2 linked regions of the Drosophila melanogaster genome follow. The protein of the gene in region 1 interacts with the protein of each later gene in a pairwise test. Each region holds a gene or a part of one and is shown on either strand. Other genes may lie near its edges.

Region 1 (4,436 bases):
GCCGGTGCAGAAGATCATGCTGAGGGCGGCCACCGCGGCCATGGATGCCTCGGCTTATGGACTTATCGATTCCGTGGTAAGTTAAGATTTCAGTTGCCACTACTAACATACATAGATAATAAACTAAAATACTTTCCTATTGCAGATTTATGGCAACTGGCTGTACTTTGTCATCTGCACGATTTTCCTGCCGCTGTGGATCATCTGCTGGACCTTGTCGCTGTCCAAGCGACGCGACTACGCAGATTACCTGGACTTCGATGAGTCGCCATCAACGTCGCCGCAGCCGCAGTCAAAGGTGAAAACGAATTGAGGAGACGAACAGCACGGATTGCCATTCACTGGCTACATATATCAACTGGAAATGATCCTAAGATGAAGTGTGATAAACCCAACAAAACTGTGTGTGATGGCGGTAAGAGATTGCACATGCAGAGAAAATTCCATTTAAATGTTATGCATTTGATTAAATGTCTAAATAAAAGAAGCCTATTTATTAGTTGGAATAACTAAGTGTAAATGTAATCCAAAAAATATTAAATATACCACGGCATTTTCGATGTTGATTCCCAGTTAACTTATCATTTTAAATTACTTAAGTGGTTAACTTTATCAGTAGCTTCTTGTGATTTATGGATTTTCCATTATATTTGCAACTTTGTTTGCACGTAAAGCAGTAATGCATATATTTCCCATCCGTTGGTTATTATTTCTTTTGTCAATCCTCCGTCTTCGCTGGCGTTATTGGCCAGTGGAGGACAGGAGTTTCTCCGTGGAGTAGTGCTCAGTGGAGCACGTGCCTCTTTGAATAAGTGGAAAACTTTTCGACTATGACACGCAACTTAATTTAAACTTTGCACCGCTGCCAGCGCCATCGTCGTCGCTGCTGGCAATTAGTTATGAGCCAGGATTTGGCTCAATCAGAGGCATGGATGCATGGTGTCCTCGAAGCTGGGAGCCCTGCACTTGCCGCACCGTGTTTACCGGCGCCATTCAATCTGCAACTTAACAAGAAAACTTTCCTCACACAACCATTCAAAGGCAGACACAAAGTTGCGGCGGCACAGTGGTACTTTCACTCGAAATGTAGAAATGAGAAATTTTCGAATATCTTTTTATTAAATGGATAGATAGATTGTAAGATGAGTTCGGTCAAATCACTGAGCTGTATCACTGTATAAATCAGTTAACAAATATATATACTTTTTCAAGTAGTAGTTAATTAATCCTCGCAGTTCTAGTCTAATCGCAGCTTTTCAATATTTCTATGGGCCATCGTTAAAACAGCAGAGCACACAAGTGATTTTAGAGTTGTGTATCTTTATTCAAATACTATTCAAGGCTGGCCTGCGCTAGATGGCCATCTCCTGCACCTGATCCTCTTGGCTTAAAGAACCCATCGCCCTTCGCAACCATTGGCAAATCGAATTGGACGAGATAGGTAGCATCTCGTCCTGAGAGTCAGCCATATCGGTTTGGGTGCCCTTGCCGGTGCCCTTGCCTGGATTCCGATCCAGATACAGACCCTCTTTGGACTCCAGCTCCGTCTGTCGCTCCGCGTGGCGTTCCAAAGAGCGTTGACATCGGCTCCAGAGATCCTGGACATCCTGGCTCTCGCAGTCCGACTGAATGGCCTCTATCAGATATCTCATGGATCGCCCACTGTACTCCATCTCCAGGCTGCGGATCATTTCCGCATCGCTCTGCAACTGACACTGGATCGCCACCTGGCGTTCGAGTGCCTTGGCATCGAATAGCATTTGATCCAACAGTGCATCCGTCTCGGCGATCTCGATCCGAAGCAGATCGGCCATGTCCATGGCCGAACTAAGTTCCCCAGGTTTTGGGCAACGCGGCGAGGGTGGCGGTGGTGGTGGCGTCACCGGGATACGGGCCGTCTTACACTGGACGACACGTGGGGTCCTCAGATGCGTATCGGTCTTGCGCATTTTGAAAGCCTTGGGCGCAGGTCGTGGTGCTAGGCTACTGGGCCTACGCTTCGGGAAAGACCTTGCCGAGCTGGTCGCTGTGGTGGTGGGGTGTGCGGTATCACTCCTAGTCGTGAGCAACTCTGGCACTGCCTTCTCCAGAGATGCCTCCAGAGATGTATAGCCATTCACGCTGTTCAAATGGAGGCGACGGGCCTGGTGCACCAAATTGACGATAGCGCGATCCAAAGCCAAACTCCGGGCACTCACGGACTCCGCCGCGTCATTCAGATGTTCTGTGCTCATTCCAAAGCAGGTTTAGTGGAAAATTTTGATAATATTAATATATATATATGGCTATACTGTGAAGATGTAGTGTATATAAGATTTGGTACTACCGACCGAACCGTAGAGCAAACGTGTTGTGTGTGTCCCTGTCAAATTAGGTGAAATGAAGTGTTGCCAGTTGGAGACGGGCCTACTGGTTTCGGAAAACTCCAACTCCAAGATTACAAGTTTACAAAGGTTTTTTTCTCTGAGTGTATGAATGTGTCGCAAAGTATGCAGTTCGAAGAATATTTATATATGGTTAGAAATCTTTATACACAGCCCACTGTTGGCCAAAACGTTCGCATTATCCTTCGACTGAAGGATAAAGGGATGCGGAGAGTTCGTGATTGCGGGGGGGCGGGGGTGTTTTAAAATTGGCAAGTTGATGTCACATAATTGCCCCTCGAGCGCTCATCTTAATTATTGTGCTCGCTGACTTCCTGTTGCCCGACTTAATTCCCCGTTAAAGCCAACAACACACTCCCTGCGGTCGGGTTCGCCCCCCCACCCCCCACCATCCCACTCCAACGACCACTCTTTTGCCGGTTCCCTCTGCCGCCCATGGACTTACTGAGTGCGTCGCTGCTGCGTGTGGAAATAATTAAAATTGTTCGAAGAACGAGAGGTGTTGCACTTTGCATGTCGGCGAAAGGGGGATTGATGTGCAACATATATGTACATATGTATGAGTATGTGCATTATCGTGTCGGTTGGACAGAACAGCCATGCATTCATCGCGGATGTAAGGATAATGGAACCTACTTGAACGGCCCTTTAAAAAATTTATTGCTTTAACTATTAATCGTTTCATAAATTGAACCTTGAATGAGATCTGTAAATAAAATCCATTGCCAAACTGAGTTTATCCATTTGTAGAGCGACTTCAATTTTAGTTTCGCTGTTTTTTGCGGATTTTTTTTCAACGCTTCCGTGCTGCTTCTGTTTTAATGAAAAGTGAAAAGTGGGAAAACAAGTCCGGAATAGAGGAATACCAATCGAGAGCTTTCAATTTGCTCGACCATTGTTCTGCCTTTGTTTGCTTTTGGATTCGGATTCGGTTTCTTGTTTTTTTTTTTTTTTTTACCCGGGCTTTACTTTCGAAAAGAATTGAAACTTTGACAGTTATTTGTGTGCTTTGTCCGCCCCCTCGAAACAATGCACAAGCGGCGTCAATCCGCCCGACCTATATAGTCCTCCCCCCCCCCCCCCTAAACCACCACAACGAGGAGTCACGTGGCACTCCATTTTTTTGGAATGCCAACGATGAGTACGAAAAACTGGGCAGGTGAAATGGAAAACAAACGCATAGAAAGACAGGTACGAGAAAAAAGCATCCAAAAGACTATAGACATACACTGAGATCTTAGACGGAAAATGGAAAAAAATTATTTTGCAAAAATTAAACAACTTTAGATGAGCATTGTTATCATAACTTGACTAAAAGTGATCAGAAAGCAAAAAGAATAACTGTTTTGAGCAGCTAATAACGAAGGCTAACCATCCCTATCACTTTTTGACCGATTTAGGAAAATTAATTTTTGGACCAATTTTCGCATTTTCGGTAAGGGGTAACATCATCAAAATTTACAAAAAATGGCTAAAAAATGGAATTCCCATTTTTGGACACAGTTCGATTGGGAATTTAAATACGAACTCAACGTGATATGACATTCCGTATTCAGACAATTATTTTTAAAGTTGTGGCCAAAAAACTGACTATTTTATGACGGAAAATCGAAAAAAATGATTTTGGCAAAAATTAAACAACTTTAGATGAGCGTTTTCATCATAACTTGACTAAAAATGATCATAAAACCAAAGAAATAACTGTTTTGAGCAGCTAATAACGAAGGCTAACCATCTGTATCACTTTTGGACCAATTTAGAAAAAATAATTTTTGAGTCATTTTTCGCATTTTCGGAAGGGGTAACATCATCAAAATTTACAAAAAATGGCTAAAAAATAGAATTCCCATTTTTGGACACAGTTCGATTGGGAATTTAAATACAAACTTAACGAGGTATAACAATCCATATTTGAATGATTCTGTCAATTGTTACGAGAATAATTGTGTTATTTTCTAGGCGTAAAATTGGAAAATGATTTTTGGTACAAAATGGGATTATTTGCTTTCATTGGCATTGTAAAACAAAATTCGTAGAGCAACTATTTTGATT
Region 2 (6,764 bases), on another chromosome or scaffold:
AGTACGTGGAGAGCGATGCGGATGAAGAGCTCCTCTTCAACATTCCCTTCACCGGCAACATCAAGCTCAAGGGCATCATCATAAGTGGGGCCAATGATGACTCCCATCCAAACATGGTCAAAATGTAAGGAACAAAAGTCAAGGCTGCTTTAATATTACTATATTCATCATATATCTTATTTTTCAGCTTCAAGAACCGACCCAGGATGACCTTTGATGATGCCAGAGCAAAGCCCGACCAGGAGTTCCAGCTGACCCGCGATGCCCGCGGAGAAATCGAGTACTCACCCAAAGTGGTCACCTTCTCCTCCGTGCACCATCTCTCCCTCTACTTTCCCAGCAATTTTGGCGAAGACATAACACGCATTTACTATATAGGTAAGCTCACAACAATCTATGTTTTATCTGTGTTCCCAACTAAAACCAAGTCACTATTCAAAGGTCTTCGAGGAGAGTTCACAGAAGCTCATTACCATGGCGTAACCATATGCAACTACGAATCCCGTGCCAATGCAGCGGATCACAAGGAAAAGGCTTTCGATGGAGTCGGCAGAGCCATCCAATAGGGTTATAGAGATTAAAATTTACAATTTAATTGAGTATCTCTGTAGTGTATATATTTTGTGATCATTTAAGGCAAGAAATGTTTTTGTATTCGCTTAACTTATTGAGCATTTGTATTGCACAGATATTGTGGGCTAAATCATACTAAGTATATTGTGTGGGTGGAATCACATCGGGTCCTATTTTCATGCCCATATTGGGCACTTTATCCGAATGGATTTCAGCCGTGACCTCGGTGAACAGCTTGTCCCACTGCCAGAGATCGTCCTTCTCGTTGAGGCTCTCCTGTGGAACCAGGCAATCGGTGAGGATTGAGAGATCAAAGCCATCCACAGCTGAAAAGGCGTACTGGGAAAGCAAATCGGAATTGGCCTCCTTCAAAACAGCAGATCGTGAGGTGCCAATACTACAAATTACAACTTATTATCGTAGTGAAGAGAAATATAGCAGCTTCTGCTTACGTTGGCGGTTCTACAATCTCATTGAGCATGATTTCGTCCTTGACATCATCCATGTCTGGGATGACGGGAATGTCATCCGTTGGTATGGAATTTGTAGCCGACTTTGTTTGTTTAAAGCGCTCACTAAAATGAATTTTATCATTATAACAGTCGGTGGAAAGTGAAGTTATTGTGATAAACTTGTACTCACTCATCAAAGGAGTTTTTCTTGGACCTAAAAAGATATAGAGCAATCAGTAATGTGCCTAATTCGAGCCTAATCATACCCACTTTAATCCTTTGAGTCCAGAATCCGCCCAGCCACCTGAAATGCGACGAATGGGTGGTCGATGTGACTCGAATTCATTGTTGTATGTGGACGAGGTGGCCGTGTCCGAGGTGGTCGGTGGGGTGCCCGCCTGGACATTCAGCGTAATGTCGATGGAAATGTCCTTGGAGCCCCCAGCCGCCTGGACATCCTCCTCCTTCAGAACATCGCGACTCTTGGAGCGCCGACCCTTCCTGGCCGTCGTCTAGGGTGGCAAATAAATCGAAACTTCAATTTGCATCCATTTAAACAGGGTTACTTACCTTTCTTATGGTCATCTTGAGTTCTTCGGCCCAGTCCATCATCTTTTGTTTACGTTTATCCTCAGCGTTTCCAAGGCAACAAGTGGTCATGGTTACTCCGTGGGAATGTTCAAGTTTACTAATGGAGTTTGCCATTCGCAACGCGATGCGATAGTTTTCAAATCAGTTACCTATCGCCGATGACAGTTGGCGGAGCTTCAAGTGGCCAAAATAAACAAATATTTATTTTCTAATAACGCAAAATGCTGACGGACACGGAAGATGACTTCTTTTTCGAAGAGGATAAGATGTAAGTGGCCATTGAAAGCAATAAATTGCTGCAACACCTACGCCCAGCTCTATTTACGCACAACAATCTGTTGCGATGTGCCGAAAAGTGTCTGTTAAAAATCAATAATTGCCACCAAACTGAAACATATTGTTGGAATCAGGCCAGAACCGCTGCTCATCCAGTTGGATGGGGATGGTGCTCAGGCTGTCCGGCAGCCCAAGGAACGCACGGAGCAGCGAGAGCATGCCTCCGGTTCCGTCGCTCCCAACGAGGCCACCGTTATGCTCTGCTCCCCGGCGGGATTCTCCTGCGATTCCGCATCCGGGGACAGGTTCGGCATCGAGTCCGCCAGTAGGCAGAAGTATGAGTTAGACCGTCTGTAAGTCAACTCCGTTGACCCGGAATCGTTCCCATACTATTTCCTGTGGCAGCTCTGTTTTCTAAGTTCTGGTTTTTATAGTCTTTATCCTGTAGTTTCTACCAAATTAGCTTACTCTTGGTTTTTTATTGATTTTATTCTTTTAAATTCATAAATTGGTGTATTTATATTAATAGTAGCATATACACTTCTTTATTTAACTATTAAAAATTTAATTTTGATTCAGTTGCTGTTTTTTTTTTAATTATTTACTTTTTAAAGAGCGAACACAGTACTATATCCATTTTTTGTATAGTAAGAACTACAGAACTAGAACTAACAAGATTGTTGTTTATTTAGTTTATTAATTCCACCGAAAAAGGACAAATGTGAATTTCCTTTGTAGAGCCTTAGATGCTTATACTTAGGCTAGCTAGTATACAAACTATATTGAATTCGAGGTGTCCTTTGGCTTTCCAAGTCCCATCCTTCGAAAGCGTTAGTATCACGATGCCTTAGAATAAGCTGTCCCGATCAACAGTTTTCCCCATACAGCCCTAGCCAAACTTGATAATAATCCAATGGCCTTGCTAGAACTGGTAACATGGCTAATTAGAAAATCGCACCAATCGAAGTGAGTACGTATGGAAAACTGATATGGAATCACCAGCACATAACCATATATACTTCAAATCATGTAGCACGCGTAGATCACGCTTCAAACTATATTTCAATATCTTAACTTCTTACCAACCTTTATGCAGGGGCATGACTGTCAGCACGAATGCTGTCGTCATTACAAAGGATCAGAGCAACCTGATTGGCATCAGCATTGGGGGTGGAGCACCCATGTGTCCATGTCTGTATATCGTGCAGGTAAGTCTGAAAATCATGAACTCATAAACTCTCACAAAGATCTTTTTGCTGCCATATTCAGCTTGTTTCAAATTTAATTTACAATCTCATTTCTAGGCTGCCTGAGAATCTTTTCTAGCGGTGACCCTTGTTTGCTTCCAGGGATTCGGCGTAGCCTTGAAATTTGTCATTTTGCGTAGCTTAAAGTACTCGCTTCTTTCCCGTGCAAACCAATCGATGGTCTGCTGCTCCAAACGCCGATCCATCCGTATCCTTTTCCTCTCGTCATACACTTGGCGGCGCAGAGCACGCTCCGACGTATGGAGATGAAAAGGTTTTGGATGGGTAAAGGAGGACTTGACAAGCGGCGTAAAGGGCTGCCGGTTGAGGTAGTCCATAGAAGAGCCTGGATTGATTCGGGGCACAAAGTCGGATGTCTTTCGGCTCTGCCTTTGCTTCTTTAGGCGCTTGTTTAAAGCGACCATTGACGTGGCCAGCGTGGCAGGGCATCGGGGCTTCGTCACCGTTTGCAGAGAGTTCAGGTACAGCTTGCGCCTTTCCAAACGACGATGAGATCGCTCGAAATCGGGCACAGGTCTGCTCCGGAACTGAAACGCATTACTTTGCATGTTGGCCTCTCGTTTTAGCTTCTTGCGTTTCTCAGTGTAAACCTTCTGGAATTTGCATACCCTTGGTGTCTGTTTTCTGGTCGTCTTGAGCTTTTTGGGCTTTGCCTGGCTTTGGCCACCACCCGCCTGTGTACGCTTGCGCTGATGCTTTTGCACGTCCCGCTCCTGAAGCGCCGCCTGCAGCCTCTTATCCAACTGGTCGAATCCCGGAATCAACTTGGGTCTCGCATGGGACTCATTGCTTAAATCCTTTACGGACCAATTAAACCAGTTGGTGATGGTCATAATTTGGCTAACCAAATCGGTTTCAGTTGCGAAGGACTAATCTTAAACGATAATTTTGAAACTTAAAGTTATGAGTACTATTTGCTTGGTTTTATAAAAATGTTTACGTTTTGACACAAGTATGATTTACAAACTGTAAACAATAGCTTTCCAAAAAATGCAATGCTATAAATGTCACATCTTGTAAACTCTAGATCTTCGATGGAACACCCGCTGCTCGTGAGGGATCCCTGCAATCAGGAGATGAACTGTTGGCTGTGAATTCGGTGAGCGTGAAGGGCAAGACGAAAGTGGAGGTGGCCAAGATGATCCAGACGGCCACCGACGAGGTGGTTATCCATTACAACAAGCTGCACGCCGATCCCGAACAGGGCAAGACACTGGATATCATCCTCAAGAAGCTGAAGCATCGGATTGTGGACAATTTGTCGAGCAATACGGCGGATACGCTGGGTCTATCCCGCGCCATTCTGTGCAATGATTCGCTGGTCAAGCGACTGGAGGAGCTCGAGGGCACTGAACTGATGTACAAAGGACTCGTAGAGCATGCTCGCCGGATGCTCAAGGCCTACTACGATCTTCTGCAGACATATAAATCCTTTGGGGATTGCTTCACCCAAATATCGGTCCATGAACCGCAACAGCGGGCATCGGAGGCGTTTCGAACGTTTGGCGAGTTCCATCGCACCTTGGAGAAGGATGGCTTGGGCATCATCAAACAGATAAAGCCAGTGCTGGCCGATCTGGGAACGTATCTGAATAAAGCCATTCCGGACACAAAGCTCACGGTGCGTCGCTATGCGGATGCCAAGTTCACATATCTTTCGTACTGCTTGAAGGTCAAGGAGATGGACGATGAGGAACATGGCTTTGCTGCCCTGCAGGAGCCACTTTATCGCGTCGAAACGGGCAACTATGAGTACCGTTTGATACTGCGATGTCGCCAGGATGCACGCAGCAAGTTCGCCAAACTCCGCACCGATGTTCTCGAGAAGATGGAGCTGCTGGAATGCAAACATGCCATGGATCTGAACAAGCAGCTGCGAAGCCTGCTCGAAAGTTTGGCCGAACTTCATAGGAGTTTGGTGGATCGACTAGACTCGCTGCCACCGCTCTTTCCCATCGAAGTGGACTTCAAGGAGACGGACTTTCAGTACAAGTCGAGTACCCTGAAGCCGCAGGAGCTGGACGATGATGAAATCGAGGCCAACAATCATCCGCATTCCACTCCTTCGCAAGTCGATTGCGGTTTCGAGGCTGTCGAACAGCCGGCGGCAATTATAAATGTGGAAGCGGCCAAGGCGTCCGTTGATTCGTCCACCTTACAATCCGCCAGCGAGAACGAAACGTTGCTCAAGGAGCTGGGCCTGTACGATGTGGATCTGCTCTCCAATCCGCAGACCATTAGCAACCAAAAGGACTCCATTGCTGCCCAAAATGATGGCTACGATTTCGACTTGTTCTTGAACCAGGCGACTGCAGCCACCACCAGTTTGGAGCGCGATCTCATGTCCTCGAATGCGGAGGAGATGGACCTGCTACTGCAATAGGCTACTTAGTACAAATATTAAGTAATGTGTTAGATAAATATTAAATGTTTCAGTATTTGGTGTAGATATCAAAAAATATTAAAAGCCTTTCAATTTAATAGTAGCTTAGACTTTCATTTATGTTTTATTTCTGTAAAGTTTAACTTTATGGAAAGCAAATTCTTTGCTCAACAACTGATTTAACTTTTTACCTTTGTACTAGTTTGTTTAATTGATGGAATTTCTTATATACTATGTTGTTTGAATAAATAAGATAGTAAATAAGAAGTCCTGTATTTACAAACTTGCACATTTCGTCCTGTTTTGATTTGTGTAAAATCCTATATTATCTTATGTTAAAGAAACCACATTTTCCACACTCGACTTGTTAGTCCTGCAAAACAGTTTCACGCAGATAGACCCAATTATGGATATTCCACCCAAGACCACAAAGTAGCTACCGTAAACCACGTACTGATCCCGCGGCTCCAGAGCGAATCCAACTCGCTCCACAACCGCAACGGTCAGAATAGTCTGCAGGATCAGACCCACCAACGTATTGATACCGAAGATCAAGCCGAAACTGTCCTCCACCAGATTCTCGGCCACCACGGCACCCGCCACCGTGATGATGAAGAAGAATACGGTGCAGAAAAGCACATAGTTCACGTAGGCCACCCAGATCAACTGCGTCTTGGCGGCATAGATGAGCAGAGCGCCCAGGGCAGCGGCACAGATGGATATGCCCATCATATACGATCCCCGTCGCTTATTGGAGTTCAGCAGGCCCGCCAGAATGGCTCCAATAGCACCCAGCAGCGTGGCCACGGCCTCCACTCCGCCATTGTAAACACTGAGCTTATTCGGTGCCACCTCTTTCCACAGGAACTGGATGTAGGAGATCACCTAGAGGATTTAACATAATTAGTTTATTACACACTTAACTTCTTGCAATAAACGGCCAACTTACTTGAACTTGACCACAGGTGGCCAATGCCCACCATATGCTCCACTGCAGCACGACGGGATTGGAGTAGGAACTAACGAGGTGGTACCACAGCAGGCGGCATGCGTTGGCAAAGGAGAACTTTGGTGAGGTCTCTTCTCCGTCGGCAATGGTAATCTTCTCGGAACCCGCGTAGAAGTAGAGGCTACGCGGCACACTGGGCAGGAACAGGGACACGGCCAGGGAGATTAGCTGCGTGGCCAGCGAGAGGTAGTGCAGCTGCCGGTAATCCATGC

The links. The genes of interacting proteins can lie anywhere in the genome.
Region 2: the proteins of CG15764 (region 1) and PICK1 interact in a two-hybrid assay, tested with the Drosophila melanogaster proteins (one large-scale study listed by BioGRID).

Annotation. Positions count from the first base shown.
Region 1 is NC_004354.4:5,866,980-5,871,415, reverse strand, and holds CG15764 (uncharacterized protein), read right to left. Parts: upstream 2,322-4,436; 5' UTR 2,235-2,321; coding exon 1,353-2,234; 3' UTR 1,150-1,352; downstream 1-1,149. Other genes in the region: GAA1 (glycosylphosphatidylinositol anchor attachment 1), read left to right, coding at 1-76, 146-313.
Region 2 is NT_033779.5:12,693,279-12,700,042, forward strand, and holds PICK1 (protein interacting with C kinase 1), read left to right. Parts: upstream 1-1,754; 5' UTR 1,755-1,837; coding exon 1,838-1,884; intron 1,885-2,026; coding exon 2,027-2,245; intron 2,246-2,557; exon of another isoform or gene 2,558-2,862; intron 2,863-2,913; exon of another isoform or gene 2,914-2,988; coding exon 2,989-3,100; intron 3,101-3,147; exon of another isoform or gene 3,148-3,192; coding exon of another isoform or gene 3,193-3,993; exon of another isoform or gene 3,994-4,045; intron 4,046-4,187; coding exon 4,188-5,543; 3' UTR 5,544-5,639; downstream 5,640-6,764. Other genes in the region: CG6153 (uncharacterized protein), read left to right, coding at 1-124, 188-378, 442-566; IFT43 (intraflagellar transport 43), read right to left, coding at 709-970, 1,026-1,148, 1,216-1,239, 1,296-1,537, 1,596-1,634; CG5781 (uncharacterized protein), read right to left, coding at 3,193-3,993; CG17036 (uncharacterized protein), read right to left, coding at 5,874-6,428, 6,493-6,764.